2 linked regions of the Struthio camelus genome follow. The protein of the gene in region 1 interacts with the protein of each later gene in a pairwise test. Links are inferred from orthologs where the notes say so. Each region holds a gene or a part of one and is shown on either strand. Other genes may lie near its edges.

Region 1 (10,132 bases):
CGAATTTAAAATAAAGCAGCGTCACTGTAAATGATTTGTGACAAAGTAGGCCTCGCAGTTTATTTTGCCATATTCTTAGTCAGAGATCTTTGACAATTTTGAAGGAGTCCACACAGGAAAACAGTAGTGAGTTTGCCAAAAGTACTGTTATTACTGAGCACATGTGACTTAATAAATACACCCACTCTACAGTCTGCAATATACAACTGTATCACACAATCGTTCTCCTTTTCCTAGGATAACTGAAAAATTATGTACCTTACAAGAACTCAGTACTTCATGTTTTCTCTATTTGCTATAGATACTGGTGTTTCATAAGTAAACCCTTGAACTGAGCCATTAAATATTCAAGCTTTACTGAGACAATCAGTGTGTGTGTGGGGGGGAAGCATGAAGAAAAAGATTTTTGAACTCATATATTCTGCACCTAACAACTATACTATTTACAATTACTTATCAGGCTAGTAGGTATAATTTATGGGTTGTCAGAGCCTCTATCTTTTACAAAAAAAATAATACATCATTTATGCTGGGAAAGAACATTCCTTCTAAATTTGTAACAACTAATTTATTTTCTGGACATGATGATTGTATATGATATCTATGTGCACGTTAATACGTGAAAGCATAGAGTGTGCCTCTTCTACCATCAAGTGCAGTTGATAACAGCGGATTTCAATGAATACAAACTTCTTTGGAGGAAAACGTTAGTTCACCAGCCATTTTTTAAAGTTAGAACTACAAGCTGGAAAGCAATGTTTGCAAATTTAGCTGTACTTTCTTTTATAAGAGTTTTACTTAAATCTGTAAGGTTTTTTTGTTTTTGCTTTTTAAATGCAGGCCTATTTCTAAGCAAAACTAACAGGAACATGAAGTTCAAGTCCAATAGTTTGTTTTTTTTTAAATCTTTTGAATGCTCATATGAAAAGAACTCTTTGTTACTAGCCTTCTCAGCTAGAAAAGATTGCTTTCAAGACCTAAAATAAGCTTACTTTACAAAGTAATTTATGGAACTTGTTCTCAGTTCTCCTATAATTATTTTGTTAATGCATGAAATTCAAAACTTAGATCAGCACAGCTGTATCACCTGCATATGGTGCACAACTAGTTCAAATACAGAAGGAGATGAAAGCATCAGTTACCATCCTGACTGCTCCTCCTTTCCCTCGATTTTTTACCAAAGAAAGCACTCGCACTTTGTCGTTTCCATATTTCTTGCAGTACTTCAGCGCAACCTAACAGACACACAAAAAACCAGCATAAAACAAAAACAGGAATCAAGGCAGAAGTTTTCATTTGCTCACCATTTTTTTTTTAATTCAATAGCACAGAGTAATAGTCCCTTCAGTCTGCACAAATATATTGCCCAGAGATTGCTGAAGTCTGTTCAGGAAAATAAAAACCAGTTCACAGTGAACACAAGAAGACTGAAAGAGACAGTCATGTTCAACTAGAATATGATATTCCCCCAGGCAGTTCTAGACCTCATTTCACCTATCTCACCAAAGTCTAAAAGATTCAGCACTAATGTAGTTTATATTATACTATTACAGGCCTTTTACATTAACACCTATAGCTAGTCAAAGAAAGAAAAAGTCTGCTACTAGTGCCACCTATTTCTCATTTGTTTCACTGTTATCTGTGGTATTAAAAAAATTCACAAAGGTCAAAAATCCCATTCACACTGCAGGGATGTGCTCTTTTGGTCCAGACGGTGGGGGAAGAAAAAACATGAGTTTTCTCCTCTAATCTTTTCCAAAGGTTGCCTCAAATCCTTGCAAGTTTGGAGGTCCATGGCCACAGCGTGCTCAGTTAGAAATTATAAAGAAAGAGTGCAAGGAAGACAGTAAATGTACACACACAATCCTTAACAGACAAGTTTAAGGGAAGGAAATGGAAAAGCAGCACTCATGTTAATTAAGTGGTTTTGAAAACCACTACCAGTGGCAAGGAGATTTTTAAATGAACAATTTCACGATCACAGCAAGCTATGTTAGAAACATTAAAAAAGACTAAAGTGATAGTTAAAAAGAGAAACACAGAGAAGGATGAACAAGCATTCTTAGAAGAGGAGAAATTCTGAAAGAAGTGGAAATTTGGAGAGAAACCCTTCCCCCCACCCTCGACTTACCGATGCTGTCATAAGATAATGAATTACAAATTATAATGTTTTGAGGTGACACTGTGGAAGTGGTAGCGTACTTGTGTAGCTGTAACGGTTTGGAATATCATTCCATGAACGGTATGGGAAAGAGCTATAGAACATGTCAGCCACTCTGTCCATCACAGTACAAATCAGCTATTTCAAAAGGCTTCCTAGCCTCACTCAACTTCATACTTACATCACTATGTACACGCAGAATATTTCAGAAGAAACCTGATGAAGTTGAAATTAGAATTTTAATTAGAATTTGAATTTTAATTAGAATTAGAATTTGAAATTAGAATTTGAAATTTAGCTGCAGGAAAGTGGCTGTCACATTAGCCAACCATGAATAATTGCATTTGCAAAATAGTTAGATATGCAGGCATATGTGCACGTGACATCCATAACGCAGGCAGGATAATGACAGAAAGCGTTCAGAAGCCTAAATTTTAATTATCAAGTAAAGAAAATTATTCAAATACCAAAATGTAAGAACAAAATATTGTTATGGTTCACAAATGCAATATATAAACCTATACATCCAATTACTTGGTAAGAAACTGCTCTCTCTTACCTTTTTGGTTAGATCTTTACTACCATCGTCAACCACTATTACTTCATAAGTGAATGAAGGATCTTGTTTCTTGAAAATAAAGAGAGAAACAACGCATTTAATACAATCTTTTCAGTAGGAAGCATGCCTTTCAAACATCAGTGTTCTCTTCTACCGTTTGTGTTTACAGACAGGCATCAATATGATGTGGTAAATTTGTTACGACAGTAAACACAGTTAAGGAATTTTGCCGTATTAGATGTCTGTTGGCTTGTCATATTTTTCCTGAGCTACATCTAGCACTGAAAAATCAATTTAGTTGAAAAAGGGTATGTGAAAGCTCAGAACATCACTGTTAAAAAACAAAGAAACAAAAATCCAATAAACAAACACCCCCCCCCCCGCACACCTTCATAATGGGCGTCTTAATCAGATAACCAATCCTAATGAAGAACAAGTGTTTAAAAATACTGGAAGAACAAACTAGCTTGTAGTTCAGAGACTTAAATATCTGGTTAATTCTTAAACTCTATCTTGGATACATACCTTGCATGGAAATTTTTGTCATGATAGAATAGTTAATTAAATTTTTACTTAATTAAAAAATACCTTCCAGCATTCAATCTTAGAATAACTGATAAGAGACAGAAGCACTACTTCTAAGTAGCTGAAGTTATACTATTTTAACATATAACAAAACAATCAAGTGATTAGATCACAGATTTATATGCAATACATACAAAAATAATGAATTATGAATGCAAAATAAAATACCTGTCTTTTTTCTAGATAATCTAAAGCTTCATCCATCATAAGAGGCACTACAGAAAAGGTGGAGGAGCTCAGGTTAGTAGATATAACAAGCTAAACACCAAGACCACCAACAAGCATATGCACAAGCAAGCTGACAACAACCATAGAACTAAGAAGAGCAAATTGATTCCTTCATAAAACACTAATTTCACTAAACAAATCTAGCACCTGCAATTCTAAGTGCTGTCCTTCCTGAATATGAAAATAATAATGAAAAAACCCACATCTAAGACAGGGGATGAAAATGTTTCTTTAAAGATCAAAAACAACTTTTTAGTTTGAAAATGTAATTCTCTACATAGTATTAAAGAAAAAAAAAAAGCCTTGCCTCACTCTGCGAACCAGCACTGACTAATCTTTGTGTTCACAAAAGATGACAGAAGTCAGCAAGAGAAATTCCTAATACTAGTCAGCACTGTGCATTCGTTTACTAAGGCTGCTGACCCAGATGCTTTAGGCACCTAACAGGCACTACTTTTGCAGCTGAACTATCTGTACATTAGAAAGATGTTCATTCTCAGCTGCCTTTGCAGTATATGCTCATTCCTGAGCAAATCTCAGGTGATTGTTCTGTCTCTGAAGAGAGAAGGCCAAATGAAAGTCACATGAAATGTATTAAATCCTTGCTCACAGAAAGCGAGCGCCTGAGAACCAGGACTGAGAAATACACTGGACTCTAGAAAGTGCCGGGCCTACTCTGCAGACTAGATACATACTATTTGCCAATATCCCTTGTCATGGAATCCTGAACAGCTCACTAGAAAAGGGAATGACAGTGTGTGCTATCATGTCAACCGCAAGCAGAGCTTCAGAGCTTGATGCTTTCTTATCCCATCAGAAAGCCTTCACCTTTTAGCAGCATATAAATGGCCAAGACAAAAGTCAAAGGGAAACCCATGCGATCATCTTCTTTCTGCTTGAGGCTGCTGCTGCCGGTTTCAGAGTGGAAAATTCTCAAATCAAGTTCAAAAGGCCTTTTCTACATCTCTTCTCACAGCATCTACAGGGGAATAAGCAGCTACTTTGCTGTGCTTTATTTTAATATAATGCATTCTTACAACTGATTTTTGTTGCTAAAAATAGCAAAGGCCAAATTATACAATTTCTTAATTCTGAAATTCAGTGTAGTTGGATTGGTTTCTGGAAACTGGGTACAACATTAGACACGTCTAGCCTGCCAGAATCTATTGCTAACATAAACTAACCTCTGCATTATTAGAGTAATAACAGATAGATTTTCTTCTTTTTCTCAAAACAAGAAAAATCTTACACCGGTCTTCCTCATTGTATGAAGGCACAACAACAGAGAGCTCCCTTGTAGGGGGATCATGTATACTTGGTACAGATTCTTTCCTGCCTTCAGCAGTTAGGAAGAACTTCTCTTCTTCATGTCGGTGAAGGCTTGGCATTTTTATGGCAGTTATGTGAGCAATTATACAAATCTGTGAAGAAAAAAGAAAAAAACACGCAAGAAAGTCTTTGCGCACTGTTTATGGAGTAGTGTCCTAGTAAAGGTTTACCCAGCTATTGCAACGTGCTACAATCGGACAATCAAATGTAGTTCGGTAATGAGCTGGGCTAAACGATGCAGTATTTTACCTATTGACCACATCATCCAGGATCAAAACCTTCTTATGCCACCTGCTCACTCCTCTTCATCTAACCTGGACACACTTAGCATCGGGAGTTTCTGTTTTCAGACGGAAGGCACCTTGAATGCTTCTGAAGATGTGGTCCAAGCCCCACTACACCTTCTCCAGCCTCCACCTCTAATACTACTAACTTCTGCCACCGCTGATCCCCCGCGGAGCCACTGCAGTGGATGGTGTTACTCATGAGCTTAGCCAGCCCCACGTTTGCAAAAATCACTTTTCTGCCCAGCTCAAATAAATCAGTAAGGCTTTTTTTTGGAAGTACTTTTCCTAGCGAACAATATATATGCAGTTCTCCTGACTAGCAGCAGCGCCCGGTTTCCAAGCCTCACAGGTCTCAGCCTTGCACCGTGTTTTAATCACCTAGAAAGGACCAACACCCCTAAACGATTAAGATGCAAAAAGCATCATGAGGCTATTCTAGGAGAGATCCGAAACGAACAAAGCCCCCTCCGTTTTCCATCTCGTTTGCCACGCGGCGCACCGACACGCCTTGCGCAAACACACAACAACGCTCCCAGCTAAGCCGCTGCGGGAACAAGAGCGGCGGCAACCGGCACCGCTGGCCACGCCGGGGCGCAGCGCAGCGACCCGCGGAGCGCGGCCGGCCTCGAAGCGCCGCCCGCGGCCGCAGCCCCGCGGCAGCCCCGGCCCGGCGCCGCGAGCCCCGCTGCCCGCACACCCGGCCGGGCCGGGCCGGGCCGGGCCGGGCGTGGGGGTGCGCGGCACCGCCTGCCCCCGCCGTGCCGCCCCCCGCGGCTCTCACCAGGACGAGGGCAGCGGCCGCCAGCGCCGCCAACGCCGCGGCGGCTTCGGGCAGCGGCAGCGCCATGGCCCGCGGACGTGGTGGGGGGGGGGCGGCAGCGGCGGCTGCCAACACCCTTTCGGGCAGCTCCAGCGAGGCGGAAGCGGCCGCCTCGCCGCCGCGGCGCCGCCGCCAAGAGGGGCGGCCCCGCCCGCCGAGCGGCGCTGGGAGCCGCCGGCGCCCCCCGTCGGTGAGGGCCTGCCCGCGCCGCCGCCGCCGCCGCCGCCGTCGCCTCCTCTCCGAGGCGGCGGGCCGAGGCTTCCGGCCGGCTGGGTCACGGGAAAGCGCAACCCCGGAAAGAGACGGCAGGGAGGTAGCGACGCGACTATGGCGACAGCTTTTAAGTAAGTGACGGAGGTTTAGCGGCGCTGCTCGCCGCCGCCAGCGCGGAGCCGCGGCTTCTCGGCCGCTGCCTTGGCCGCTCCTGGCGCCGCGCAGGCCGAGGCGGCCCCGCTCCCGCGCGGGCGGGGCGGGGCGGGGCGGTGACGGCGGTGACAGCGGAGCCCGCGCGGCCCGGCCTCGCGCCGGAGCCGTTAGGGCCGTTGGGGCCGTTCCCGGCGCGCGGCTGCGCGCGCCGCTCCGCGCAGGGTGGCGGCTGAAGGAGACAGGGATCGAGCGCATTCTCTTTGTGTGTTTTTTTTTCTTTTAAAGCTGCTGTTTTCTGCTCTCGTTTGGTTCGTAGGGAAGACAGAAGAGGTAGGCGATGACAGAATGAGAGACAGTGGGCACAGATTGAAACTTGGGAGATTTTGATTAGCTACTTGGGAAACATTTTTTTGCGGTTGAAGGGGGGTCAACCAGCCGGGGTGTGGAATCTCCCTCCTTGGAGACAGGCAACTGGGCAAAGCCCAGAGCAGCCTGAGTGAGGCCTGGGACCGTACAAGCTCCAGAGGCCGCTTCCAACACGTTGTGTTTTCCTTTGCCTTCTGAAACATCGACCAGCGCGTTAGCGCTGGAGGAGGGCAGCCTCCTTCAGGAAAGGGAAGAGGTACTGGCAGTATCGCTTTAAGGAACTAATTACAAGAGCCACAATTTCGAAAAACATGGAAAAGTAGGAAATTCAGTGGCTGCTGGTTTATGACTATTCTTCCTGTCGCTGTTCTTTCCAGGTTTCTGCCTTATGATCGTGAAACAGGGTGTAGCAGGTGCTCCCTGTGTGAATCAGAAAAGAATAGGCCATATATTGGCATTACAAACAGTGGCAGAGGACTATCATATAGAGGACTGATGCGTTAATTCATGTTTGTTGTCATGAGCTGTGATGACTGTGTGCGTTAGATTGCATTTGGAAAACTTGTTTGAATTTTTCCCAGTTAATCGCGTTTTTCCAGAATTGCTTGTTTGAACAAAACTTTTGGCTTTGGTCAAATATCACGCTGCCTCTATAAGTATTTTTTTACTTAGACGTTCTGTGCTGGAAATACTAGTACACAAGCTGTGCTGGTAGTATCTGATTAATAGTAAACATTAAGTATTCCTCAACTTAAGCACTGCATACAGCATATTTCATAATGTTATATTTTTATTTAAAAGGGTTCTAAGAAAAAGCTATTACATTTCAAGACTGATAAATTGTTTTTTAACTGCTTTGTATATCTGAATACAGTCATTGAATGAACAAAATAAATCAGATAAGGTTACCCTTTCTGCAGCATTTCTTCAAAAGCACTTGAGACTGTTGCCTCAATAAACACTCTTTTTGATCAGAACTAATTACTTAAATAATAAATTTAAAAAGATTCTTGAGGCGAAAGCTAGTTTGTATGGGCATATGGGCATGCAGATTCCCTAGTTGTAAGACAGAAGCATTTTGTTTCAAGTAGATAAAATGTTTATTTTTTCATTCTCCGTTTTTCCAAACCTTTTCTCCTTTTTAAAAATCATACATGCATTATAGTAGGTAGCTTTCTGAAACTTAGGAGGCCTCATCTTAGATCAGTTAAGTTTCCTGATCTTGCTATAATTGTATTGCTAATCAGCTTTGCTAGTTAGCTTAATTCTCAAATGACAGTTGTTGTAGGAAGGTGCCTGCTTTTCTTTTTTTGCTATATCTTAGTTACCAGACACTTTGCATGTGAACTTCAATTTCTTTTTATTTTAGAACAGTGGAACCGTTGGAATATTACAGAAGATTTTTGGTGAGTAAAACATGATGTGCATGTGTAAATTGCTTGTAATCTGTTTTTTTTTTTTTTTCTGATGTACTTTTGCTTTTCTGATTTGTCTCTGTGGAAATCTTGATACTTGTAATGCAAAAATAAAAAAATTGATTAAGGGGAAAAATGGTCATACTCTTCACAGCATATTTTGCGTTCCGTCTGTGGCATTCATTCTGGAGCAACTTCACATGGGTAAATGTTACTTTTGGCCTCGGAAGCAATGTGAATTAAACTTGACTAAGATAGCGGCCCAGGTTTGTCTCTAGTACAAAATGATCCCAGGCTGGGCTTTTAGCTGTTACTGAAAAATAAATAATAGAGCTATTGCTGCTAACCATATTTACCATGAATATGGAGGAAGAACACTGACTTTTTTGGTAATGCATATTATATTAGTCTATGCATTACTGAAATAATACTAAGAAATGAGTCTAGTATCATTGCAGTCAGCTTTAATTCTTCTAAATGCAGAATTGATGTGTATATTAACAGGAGCTTCATTGTCTATGAGGGCTTAGTCTAGAGTTCTTTACCTTCTAAAACACTGGTTAGCAGGGAGATAGGTAACAAAGTATGATTAAGCTATGAGAATACATTAATTGAACCATTAAGTGAAGTCTTTGTTTTGGAGAAGCTTGAAATTAGGGTGCATTATCATTCCCATCTAACATGATGGTAAATTGGAGCTGCTTCTAACTTAATGTGTATATCCAGGTTTTGTTGACAGCTTTTAACTGACAATATTTAAGGTTTTTTTTTTTTTTTGGTTCAGTCCAGTGTTCATTTTAAGAGCTCCACTGGGTGGGGAAGCTACAAAAACTAAACAGTGCAGAAAGGTGGAAACTTTCTAAAGTTATCAGTACTATTCATTCTTGGATGGTTTTCTGAGTCTAGCCTTTAGCACTTACTCTTGAGACAATTCATTGTTACATATTTATTTTTCTAAAAAATTACAGGCCTAAAACCACAAATGGGGTATCAGTTGCTGGAAAACTCGGTTGAGTTTTCCCTAGCAATTTTGTAACTCCATATTTCTGCTAAAAATAAGCAAACACTTTTTATTAAAAAAAACTCCTGAAGCATAAATGTTGGTGTGTTATTTCATGAAACGTGTTTTTTAATTTGAAATCTGTAATTTTTGTTTAGAAAGAGAACTGTCGACCTGATGGAAGGGAGTTAGGTGAATTCCGGGCAACAACTGTCAACATTGGTAAGTGCTTATTTGGAATAACAATAATGATAGGATTTTTTAATTATTTTTCTCAGATTTTTATAGTTGGTGCCCTTAATGACTTGCTAATTGGTTTTCCTGGTGCTTCAATTTTGAAACAAGAAAGGAGTAGGATTTGCATTTGTAGTTCCAAACAGTGTTAAAGAGAATGCATTGTGCAGGAATATATTTGAATGCTATTATTCAGGTCTACTTCTGGGCTGATCTGCATAGCGTAATTTAGGATGCTTTAGGATGCTTGGGTGCTTGTCTTAAGTCTCACATAAGCTGTGTATGATGCTCTAGCATCTTGAGAGAGGCAGTGACTCCTGGATTCTGCTTTGTTCCAAGCTTGGTGAGCAGCTGTCTCTCACTGAAGCAAGATACCTGCTATGTAGTGAGCAGCAGCACCTTACCTTCCTGAGGAGCCTTCCCTAGACCTTGCAATGATTTTTGAAGAGTATAATTAACTTCTCTTTTTGAGAAGAAAGTACAGGTTAGCGTATCACCATGGAAAAGCTGCTCGTTATTGTTCAAACTGGAGTTAGTAGGTCTCTTCCACTGAACAGCATTGCCTTTCCATTAGGTCTTGCTGCAAGTCACCCAGATGGTGGTGTTATGTTAACTGTCTATGATTTCTAGTCTATAAAAGTTCTCTGTTGATAGGATCTGTGGTATTTAGAGCTCTCTTTTGCTGTTTTATCTGTTTGCGTAGTAAAAATATACATTTTCATCCAGCAGACCATTGACTACTTCTAATCCAAAAGGAATTATTACCTCAAATTTGCATTAAT
Region 2 (10,354 bases), about 20 Mb from region 1:
AGTACAGAAATTCAAAGAATAAGATTACCTTGTTCCAATCTAAAGCATAGAGAACGTTTTGCAGCCTCTATCTCAGGACTTGGATGATCCAGAACACGTCTGCACCACTGCAGAGGACTGAGTGATTTCTCTTGAGGAGTGAGAGTCTTGGTAGGTAAGACATATAACCTTAACCAAAATACATACAAATATCAGAAAGATATGCAATACTTAAAAGTTAACTTTTGTACTCTCAGTTTCTTGCTAATTTCTAACAGTGCATAACCCCGCACTATGAAATTCTATTAACAAAAAGCATTCAGCAGGAAAAGAGTTTACGCTGATTTTTTCCCTTCTCCTCATGAAACGTGATGGCGAATTATAATCTCTACAGCTTTGGAACTTCAAATCAAAGTTAGATTAGATTACTCATGAAAATATTACATCTCATTATTACCACTGCCTGAACTTCAGCACCGCTCAGAGTTCAAACCCGTTAGGTGCTGTACACACAAAGATGCTATCAGTTTTCCCCTTCATATTTATCAAAGTTTAAATAATTTCAGTGTTTTATTTCACATTTAAATGAGAATTTCACTGTGATCTATTTCATGTGTTTACCTTTAATAATTTACTCAACGTGTCAGAATGCGGATTGTAATTTTCATACCCAGGCTCTTCTCCTAAATGAACTAAATGTTGTATAACAGTCAGACTTCAAAGATTAGAAAACATCTGCTGAGAAATGAAAATCCAGTTTTGATATTTGATTCCAGAAGGAAAAAAATTATTCTTGAAAAACTAGTATATATATCCATAATTCTCAGAGTACACTGGGCAACTAATCAGATGATCAAACACGTTTAGGAAGCCAGGTACCAAAGTAGCTTTCACAGGTAAATTCTTGAAGCTGGTATCTGCATTGCTCCTGCTCTCCTTATAGATTAGTGTACACATGCAGACATCAGTTCACCTGGGAGAGCACAAATCTTCCAGAAAGTGAACTATTAATAGCTACTGAGGACAGCCCTCAGCTCCTTGGCTGAACAGCATGCCTTATCACTTCTGATCGATGTGACTACTGACAAACTCTTACACAGATTGTCAGGCTCCAGCAAAATACCCAGATAACGCAAAGGAATTTGGCATGCAAATAGGGGCACAAAAGGCAAGACACAAAAAAAAAAAAAAAAAAGAAGAAGAAATTCTTCAGGTGGCCACTTCTAATGTCTACTCAATATCTTTTTTGTCTCTATCCAGCTCAAAATGAATAAATACCTTCATTGTAATTGATTTCTCTACTGGCAATCCCAGAGTTCAACTACTAAATTTCTCTGAGGAGAGTACTCATTTCCCCTTACTCCACGCTGTGCTTGGCTACACGTTTAAAAACATGATACTGAGAAAAATGAAAAAAAAAAAGAAAAAAAAAAGGAAAAGTTTTGAGGTCTCCTGTTAGCTTGCAGAAGCGTTTTGAAAGCTAAACATCTGACTGATGAATTCTCAATGATCAGACATTTGTATAAAAAGCTGACAAGCAGAAATAAATTTTGGCTTGTGTGCAATAAAGCCAATTCTTGTTTTTGTAACTACAGTTAAAAATAATAAAGATGTACTCAAGACTCCAAAATACTAACTCAACAGCGAGGAACATACTGGCCTTTGGATTATCAGATATCAGTTTGCTTTAATGACTTAAATTATAAAAGCCTCAAAGCAGCTGACATCAAACAGCTGACCATTAATGGACAACAAAGGAGATGCATCCTTGAAAGGAAAACGTACAACAGCTAACACAATTCACTCCAAATTGAATAAAAAAGTTAACAAACTCCTATTACCAGATTCTGCCTGTAGACACATATATGTGTGACATGAGTTGGAACTACAGGTCATGACATGAAGATAAGTTTTGGCCCCAAAACTGCACTTGGGTGGCTTCCAGAGTGCAAATCAAATAGGAAACTGATCAAAATCTTCACCGCACTAAGATACGTAAAATAACGCTGACTTTGTACTGCTCTGTTAGGTCAAACAAATTTGAGGAAAAATGCTAATGCAAAGGAAAGTTTAATCACTTCTACTCATTTGCCACAAGCAATGGGTTAGGTCTGAAGGAAAAACTGACTGAACTCAGAATCAGCATTCTCACAACAACTCATGCAGACGAAGGATACACAGAATGAAACAATACTGATAAAAATGTATGCAAAATTTCATGATAATTCTCAAAAGCAATTTCCAAAAACTAAGTCACAGTATTACTTTTGTGCTATGAAGTACATATAACCAGTGTTCAAGAAATACTGATGATATTTGCATTTTTAAATCCCTTCTTTACTACCAAAATAAGGATGTTTAACTGCATCTCAGCTGCATTATACTGTATTTTATTCTCAGCTGATGTATTCTTCAGCTTGATTTTAAAACTAAAACAGGTTAAGAAACTATGCTGAGGCATGAACAGATACTTAAAATGGTTATTTAAATATGATTAATATCCATTTTACTACTGACACTTTAATACAATCGACCATCAATTACGCTTAACGTGGTTACGTGGACAACGATTTCCACAATATTAGTGCAGCGCTTAAATAGTCTCTAAGATGTTTGCACAAGTTGCTCAGGCAACTTACGTAGCACCAAACAATCTTTCATATTTTTAGTCTATAATTTCTCCTTCTATTTATTTTTAAACGGGCATAACTATTCCTTTAGATCAATTTATTTTCTGCCCTTTTTTAAGAAAACATTTACTAGCACAGCGCCATGCGTTTTGGAACTACGTAAGCACTTCGGATACACAAACAACCGCGTAGATCAATGTCCCAAAAACAAAAGCCCTCCCAAATCCCGGAAGACCAGAGCCGAACTGGACAGAGATTTTAGGATGGGGAGGAAGCACTGTTCAGATAAAGGATTACTGGAACGGTTCCGCTATTTTTAATACCTTATGTAAGCAGTAGGCTGAAATTAGGCTGACACCAAACTGAGAGACAATTTTTTTTTTTTTCCAACGGGAAAAACAACAGCGAATCCCTGCTTTTCCCGACGGGAAGCCTGTGCCTTGGTCCAGCCGCGCCCGCCCGCCCGCCCGCCCGCCCGCCCGGCCCCTCGCCGCGCCCGGCGCCGGTGCCTCCTTCACATCACCGGCCCGGCCCTGAGCAAAACCGGCTGCCCCCGTGTTTCCCCGTCGGCCCTGCTGCGGCGCAGGCTGCGGCCGAGGCAAGCCGCCCTCCGGCCCCTCGAGCAGGAGCCCCAGGGCGGGCGGGCATCCCGGGGAGGGGAGCAGGGACAGGCGCCCCGGGGGATAAAGCCCTGACCTGAAGCGGGGCACAACCCCCGGTCCCCCTACGCGGGGTCCCCATTCACCGTTATAGGTTGATCTCACCAAGCAGGTGACACGTTAAAGAGGAGAGGAGAAAAAAACATAAATAAAACGCAGATTTAAGTTTAAGCAGAACAAGAGCAAGTAGATGTGGGGGCTAATGCTTATAATAGCCTGGAGAGCACCATCTGGGTGAGCATTAGCGGGGAGGCGGGGGACACCTGCAGCCCGGCGGGGGGTCAGAGCAAGGGCTCTGCTGCCCCGCGGTGGGGTGGGGGGGAGGGAGACGGCCGGGCCGCGGCCCCCGGCGCTGCCCCGGGTGGGGAAAAGGGAGGTGGGCGAGGGGCACCGAGACCGAGCCGCCGCCGGGCAAGGCCGCGCTACGAACCGCACGTACCACGTATCCTCGTCCTCTCCGCAGCAGCCCTCCTCCAGCTCCAGCACCGCCACCTCGTCCAGCACCGTGGCCGCTGCCGCCGGGCCGCCGCCGCCGCCACCCGCTTCCTGCCCGCCGCCGCAAGCCGCCGCCAGGCCGGGCGTGGGCTTGAAATAAGCGAGGGGCTCCGGCGGGCCCAGCGCGGCGGCGCACAGCAGGGTGGGCACCGCGCTGGGCGCGCAAGGAGCGGCCCCGCCACCGCCGCCGCCGGCCGCCGCCGGGGGGGGGCCAGCAGGGCCCAGCCCGCCAGGAGCCGGCGGCGGGGCCAGCAGCAGGTGCGGGCTGGGCGGGCCCGCGGCGGCCGCCGTGGCCGTGGCGGCCGCGGCGGCGGCACGGCTCCGCAGCTGCTCGTTTTGCTTCTCCAGCTTCCGCACCAGCTCCTGCAGCTTCTTCACCTCCAGCTCGGCACTGACGACCGAGCCCACGGCGGGGCCGGCGCCGCTCCCTTTCACCTCCGCCATCATCGCCGGCTTCAGCAAGGCAGCCTCCATCCTCCCTCGCCGCCGGCACCTGCGCCGCCGCTGGGCAGCGCCCGGCGCCGCGAGCGGCCGTTGGCGCGCGGGGGCGGGCGGCCGTTGGCGAGGGCGGCTCGCGCCGCTCCCTCGCCCCTCCGCGCCCTGCGCTGCGCTGCGCTGCGCTGCGCTGCGGCGGCGCCACCGCCCCCCCCCACCCCTCACGCCCGCCGCGACGCCGTAGCAGCCGCCTCCGCTGCTCTTGCGCCTCCTGTCAGCGGCGGCGCGGGAGCCGGTGAGATCCCCTCCCACTCGGCAGCCGGAGCCCCCCTCCCTTCCCGCCCCATACAGAGAGAGGGAACAAAGAGCCGCCCGGCTCCCCTGCCGTCAGGCGGCGGCGGGCGCTCCTTGGGGGCGGGAGGCAGCGCGGAGGGGGGTGGCGGCCCGGCAGCCCCCTCAGCGCCACGGCCGGGCTGGGGTGGGGGCTCCGGCCAGGCCCGGCGGCGGCCCTCGGCGGGAGAGGGAGGGGGAGGACGGCGGCGGCGGGGCGAGGGCCGCGGTGACCCGCGTGGGGGCGGCGGGGCCATGTCATCCCGGGGCTTTAGACAAAGGTCTTTGCCCGGCCGTGGTTGCGGCGCGCAAACGCCGCTGCCGGGCTGCGAGCTGGATCCGGCCCAGGCTGTCATTCCTCCTGTGAGCCATATAATTAGCGCCTGGTGGTGTCAGGGTTGTAATTATGCAGATTTAGCTGTGATGGGAATGAGAATCACGAATCAAGGCTTTGTTGTGTTGGAAAGGAACGAATTCAGCCCAAAGCACGCATTTGTGGCTTTGAAACATGCTGATTGTAGGACTTTTGATTCAGGACAAGGAAAGTGCATGTCTTTTTGGAGATACGTTGCTGAAGAAGCATGAAGACGATTCAAAGCGTAGTAGAAAACCACATAAGCAAATCGTTTATGTATCAGAGAGCCCCTGAGATTAAAATTGGCCCCGTGTTGAAATGAGGTCTTTTAACTTGATCCAGATACGTATATGGGTTTGTAGTGTTGAGTCTCTGCTTGAGAGGGATGGATGACATTGAGATATGGAAATGTTTTTATATTGTTCTTCATTATCCAGCACTTAGAGAAACTATTGTTTGCTTTTCTCTCTCCTGCCGAGCAGGTGACCTGGCAGCTTGGTCTGTCAGGCATGTGCATGGAGGTGAAAGCAGGAGCCGAGAACATCACCCCCGGTCGTCTGCCATGGTGCCCTTGCCAGGGGCCAGAGCGAGTCTGATGTGAGAACAGTCAAACCACACAGGGGTACCCTTGATCTGAATTATTCACACAGGATAATGTAACTACAAATAACTTCAAAATACTGACCACTTCTGTGAGCTCATTACTGTGAACATGAGTATCCCAAATGCTCAGCAATAGTGGGCATAGTCAGCTCCTCCCTGGAGGCAAGAAGATCAACAGGGATTCAGTGTTATGCCCAAGGCAACTTGGCCATTATAGAATCCAGGACTGCCCATTTTCTGGTCCATTTCCCCGAGCTAGAATTACAGAGGACAGCTTTCTAAATGATTGTCCTGAAGTTTCCTAAAGCTATAATACAAAATACGCAATAAAATCGCAGGAAGCAGTTAAATTGCTGGGTGAGTCACTATGGACTATAGTCACTATAGTCACTATAGCTATCAAGATACATAGGGTAGCTTCCCAGTTACTGAACATCAACACTGGACAGAGTAGTACCAACAACAGTCACCACTGCCTCTTCACAGTGTCTATTCCCTATCTCAGATTTCATATGTGAGAAGGGGACAGGCCCTAATTCTCTGTTCAGGGCATAAGTAAACTTTGAAATCATCCGGCCTGTCAAAATTTTCTGTCTTTTGTTTACACTCTTTGAAAACAGACTCTCTTTTTTCTGCATATGCACAAGACAATGAGTCTACTATTTGTTAGTCTTCTAAGCGCTATTACAGTGCAAACAACAACTAGCACTTCAAGAATGGATGGAAAGGAAGATAAAATAGGGCATAAGGCTTTTTGACTTCCAGATAATGTAACTTTTATCACTGAGGAGAATAAAAATAGCCCTCACTGTATTAGTGTGCAACCAGATATCAGTAAATCCAAAAATGTGTTTGATCTCCTCTGCCCGTTAGGAAGAAAGGAGTGAAAAAATGTTAACGGTGTAGAAAATGGCTGGTCCCAATTCTGTCACACATCATCAGAGTGAGTAGTATAATCCAGTTTTTGTTACTACCAATAATCTTCATTTCCATGAGAAAAAGAGGAATAAGTTTCAACATGTTTAGCCCCAGGCAAAAGGCCTGTCTCTCACGTTGTCATCCCCCATAATGGTACTAGCCTTAATTCTTAGAAGTATGTGTATGCTAATCCAGTAAAATTTTTAAAATGATAAAAAGGTAACTAGCAGCATATGTAATATAGCGTTTACTGGTCATTGGTGCTGTACAACGTAAAAAACGCAGTAGTTTGTGATAATGTCACAATAATTATGGTGGATAATGCAATGAGGCAGAGGAAATACTGAAAATGTTCCAGAACGGAGAAATTACTTTTTCTCTTTGAACCAGGTGAGCAAAGTTATTTAGACGACGAACAAAAAGCAGGAAATTGATATCTGATTGTTTCACCTTTCAGCTACATAGCGTTTTTCCTAATATTTCCAAATGTTTTGGCACGGGTTTATCCCTATAACCTTCAATATTCAATATTAAATGTGGACCTGGCAACAATATTCTAATTATATACCAGCTAGGTTAGCCCTGAAGAGTATTGACAAACAAATGTCCTGAAAATACTAGTGATCCAAGCTCTTCTGACTGCCAAAGCAGGAACACTACAGTGTGGTCAGGACATTTTAGAAGTAAAAATATCTAACACAGACACCAGTTTGGGGATACGTTTGGAGATATACTACAAGTATCATGGCACGTGACCTTAAGAGTCACTATTAAAATACTTATCTTCAGTTATGAGTAGAAGCAGTTTGTCTGTGAATTTTCAACTACCTTCCACTGTTTAGACTGCCTACAAACATATTGTATGCAGACACTTGTTTGGACCTAGTTCCAGAAGGGACAAAGCTTAGGACTGAGTATGATGCCTTAGCATGGGGATAAAAACTTTTCCAGGCAGTTTGTACAAATTAATCAAGTTCACTACATCCAGTCGCCACAAAAATGGTCCAGAAGTTTGGCTCTCCCTAGGGTGGGTCTGCTTTGAGCCTAATCTCCATCCAGCAGTATGGATTGAAAACAGCTTAAACTTGTGCATGTTCACAATCTGGGTGAGAGACTCTATCTTTTTTACCAGGCATTTCCTGAAAGGGTGGTTCTAGTGAATGGAAAAAATCAGTTTCGCTATGGTTGCTCTATATTAAACGTACAGGTAGTTTCACTAACATTGCATCTTCACTCAGAGGTTCTGGCAGATAGAGTGTGTGTACATGAACATGCTATTTCATGGTCTTTGTGCTGGCCAAAAAGATGGTTTTGACATCCTAGTCATTAAAATATTTTTGACCTAAGTTGTTTTTTTAATACAAATGGTTTTTCTCCACTGTTGACATTGCTAATAACTTGCTTGACCAGCTCCATTCAGAATTCCCACACTTGCTGATGTGTTTGGTCAACCCAGAACTCCTACAGCTCTTCACAAAACACAATGAAGACTGTATGAAGACTGCATCCCTTTTTTAAGTTATTGAAAAAATGTGTTTTACACCAATCCAAAACATCCAAACATGCCCATGAAGCCTGTTATTCCTCAACCGGAGAAACTGTGGTAGCATAGAAGATGGTGGTTTAGGCTACTTATGTGACATAGTATAGTAGAAATTTCTGAATCAGAATAGTTACTAATAGACACCCAGTGCAGAGAACAAAGAAGCAGGAAGTCTATAAATCCCATCTGCTCTTCTCTGATAATAAGCATATTGCTTTATTCTGTAATAGCTGCAGGCTGGACCTGCCTTTCAGGCAAGCCAGCATAGAATGAACTGCAGTAATCCAGTCTGGGCTATACAAAGCATGTGTTACAATAAAGTCAGAGCATGAATGGTAAAGTCCAAGTCTGGTGAAATTTTTAAAATGCACTTGCATTCTGAAAAGTCACTGCGAAAGTAGTTTTATAAAAAATAGAACATCTGCCATGTGGAGTTAGAGCAGAAGTCTATCTAACCCAGTATCCTATCTTCAAGAAAGGCTAATAGTAGCTGCTTAGGGAAGAATATATCACAAACAAGAAAAATATTGAGGGATTCTCTCCAGTTTTCAGTGGTTGGTGGATGGGACATCTGGACCGTTTGTTTTTAATTGCCAGCAATGTGTAATAACATTATAGTTGTCAAGCCCCATTTTTAAACCATTTATACATTAGAACTTTACAACACCCTCTGGCAATTAGCGCTGCAGTTCAATTATGTATTGTATGAAAAACTGCTTCCTATTATCTGCTTTAAACCTGCTGCCTAGTAATTTAATTGGGGGTCTCTTAGTTCCGGTATTCTGAGAAAGGCAGAATGATTACTCATTCTCTGTTCAGCTTCTCTTTGTCATTCACGATTTTATAAACATATTTTCCCTCAGTTACTTCTCTTCCAAGCTGACAAACCCTAATCTGTATGATCTTGCCCCCACAGAAGTCAGTCTTTACCTCCCATTCTTTCCTATCTTCCTCCATAACGAAAACATTTTTTTTCATACTGATGTTTTCTTTCTTTTATTGCTGCAAGTTTTCTTATATGATGATAGCTTAGGGAAAGAGTGTAACAAAAACTTATCGAAAATCTAAATATACTCAAATACATAAATCACCTTAACTAAAAGCATATTGGCTCCTTCAGAAATACTAATATATTTATGAGCATGCCTTGCTTTCAAAAAGCTGTATGGTCACTGCTCCAATATATCATAAATATCCGTATGCCTTTATATTCTGTTAATTATTATAATTTGTACAAATTGGCTTGATTGAAAAGTCAGACTTACTGATCTGCAGTTCCCCAGAGCAGCTTTCATATTTTTTAAAAGTCTGATGTCACAGCTGATGCTTCAAATTTGCTTGGCACCGAGTCTACGTTGAGTGATAGGTGCCTGTAGAGTTCAACAATGTCCACACTTAAGTTGCTTTAGAATTTTTGCAGGGATACTGTCTGGTCTTAGACATTTGTTATTGTTAGCTTTATACATTTGTTCTAAAATATCTGAGTTGTTAATTTCTTCTTTGAGTTAGAACATGGATTCTTCATTCCCAAAGTCTCTTGCAAATGTTTTGCCACCGTAGGTTTTTTTTTTTTTTTAATTTCCTGGTAACTGGCTTTGTCATTTTTATACAATTCTCTCTCTCTCTGTTTTTTTATCATTATGTTTATGACTTTCTGGCTTTTTCCGTAATAAATTAATGTTAAATTCGAGTATATTGTAATAACTATTAGAATGGATTTTCTAAGGGATTAAATTCAGAATTGCATCATTTTCTCTGAGCTCCACCTGTTTCAGAAAATCAGCATTTACAGTATCTAAAAATGGTGTCCATGTATTAAGCATAGGGTCTGCTAGTCTGTTGGTCTATCTAGATGGAACCGCCCATGACAGTTCTAGTTTAATGGAGTGTTACTGTATTTTGACTCATCAATTCCATATCAAATTTCTCTGGCTTACAAACGCATTGATTCCTTACCTTCTTTGTTTTTTCCCTTCCTTAAGTTCTAGACAGAAAGCATGAACCTGAGTCTTATAAATCAGGATAAGTTCTTTTGTTTTCATGAGTTTTCACCAATTATAAAAACTACTTATGCTTTTAAAGACACTTGAACATTTGCTTTGTCTTCAGTATACATATATATTGGAGGATATAATTTGGTTCACAGAACACTATGACTGGTGAATAAGAATTCGCACTCTCTCTGTATGTGCCTTTGAGGGTAGAAAGCTGAGGAAGAGATGTGGGGTTCAGTGTTTTTAATGAACAAGCTGATAATGTTAGAGTAAAAGGATTTGAAACAGCAGATAGGCTGTTTGAGTATAAAGTGCTGAAGACTATAATGACAGATGTACTAAAACAACTTACCTCCAGGAGGCTAAAAATCCATGACACATATTTTGCCAAGAATTCTGATTTCAGCTTGATT

Evidence for each region. The genes of interacting proteins can lie anywhere in the genome.
Region 2: the proteins of EXOSC8 (region 1) and SLAIN1 interact in binary tests that used the Homo sapiens proteins (3 or more experiments, as listed by UniProt). The link is inferred for Struthio camelus from reciprocal best matches to the Homo sapiens genes EXOSC8 and SLAIN1.

What each region holds. Positions count from the first base shown.
Region 1 is NC_090942.1:196,283,950-196,294,081, reverse strand, and holds the start of EXOSC8 (exosome complex component RRP43), read left to right. Parts: upstream 1-6,124; 5' UTR 6,125-6,296; coding exon 6,297-6,313; intron 6,314-8,070; coding exon 8,071-8,107; intron 8,108-9,274; coding exon 9,275-9,338; intron 9,339-10,132. Other genes in the region: ALG5 (dolichyl-phosphate beta-glucosyltransferase), read right to left, coding at 1,143-1,235, 2,721-2,789, 3,474-3,520, 4,783-4,954, 5,931-5,996. UniProt on the Homo sapiens protein: Non-catalytic component of the RNA exosome complex which has 3'->5' exoribonuclease activity and participates in a multitude of cellular RNA processing and degradation events.
Region 2 is NC_090942.1:176,504,611-176,514,964, forward strand, and holds the start of SLAIN1 (SLAIN motif-containing protein 1), read right to left. Parts: upstream 4,246-10,354; 5' UTR 4,238-4,245; coding exon 3,708-4,237; intron 169-3,707; coding exon 29-168; intron 1-28. UniProt on the Homo sapiens protein: Microtubule plus-end tracking protein that might be involved in the regulation of cytoplasmic microtubule dynamics, microtubule organization and microtubule elongation.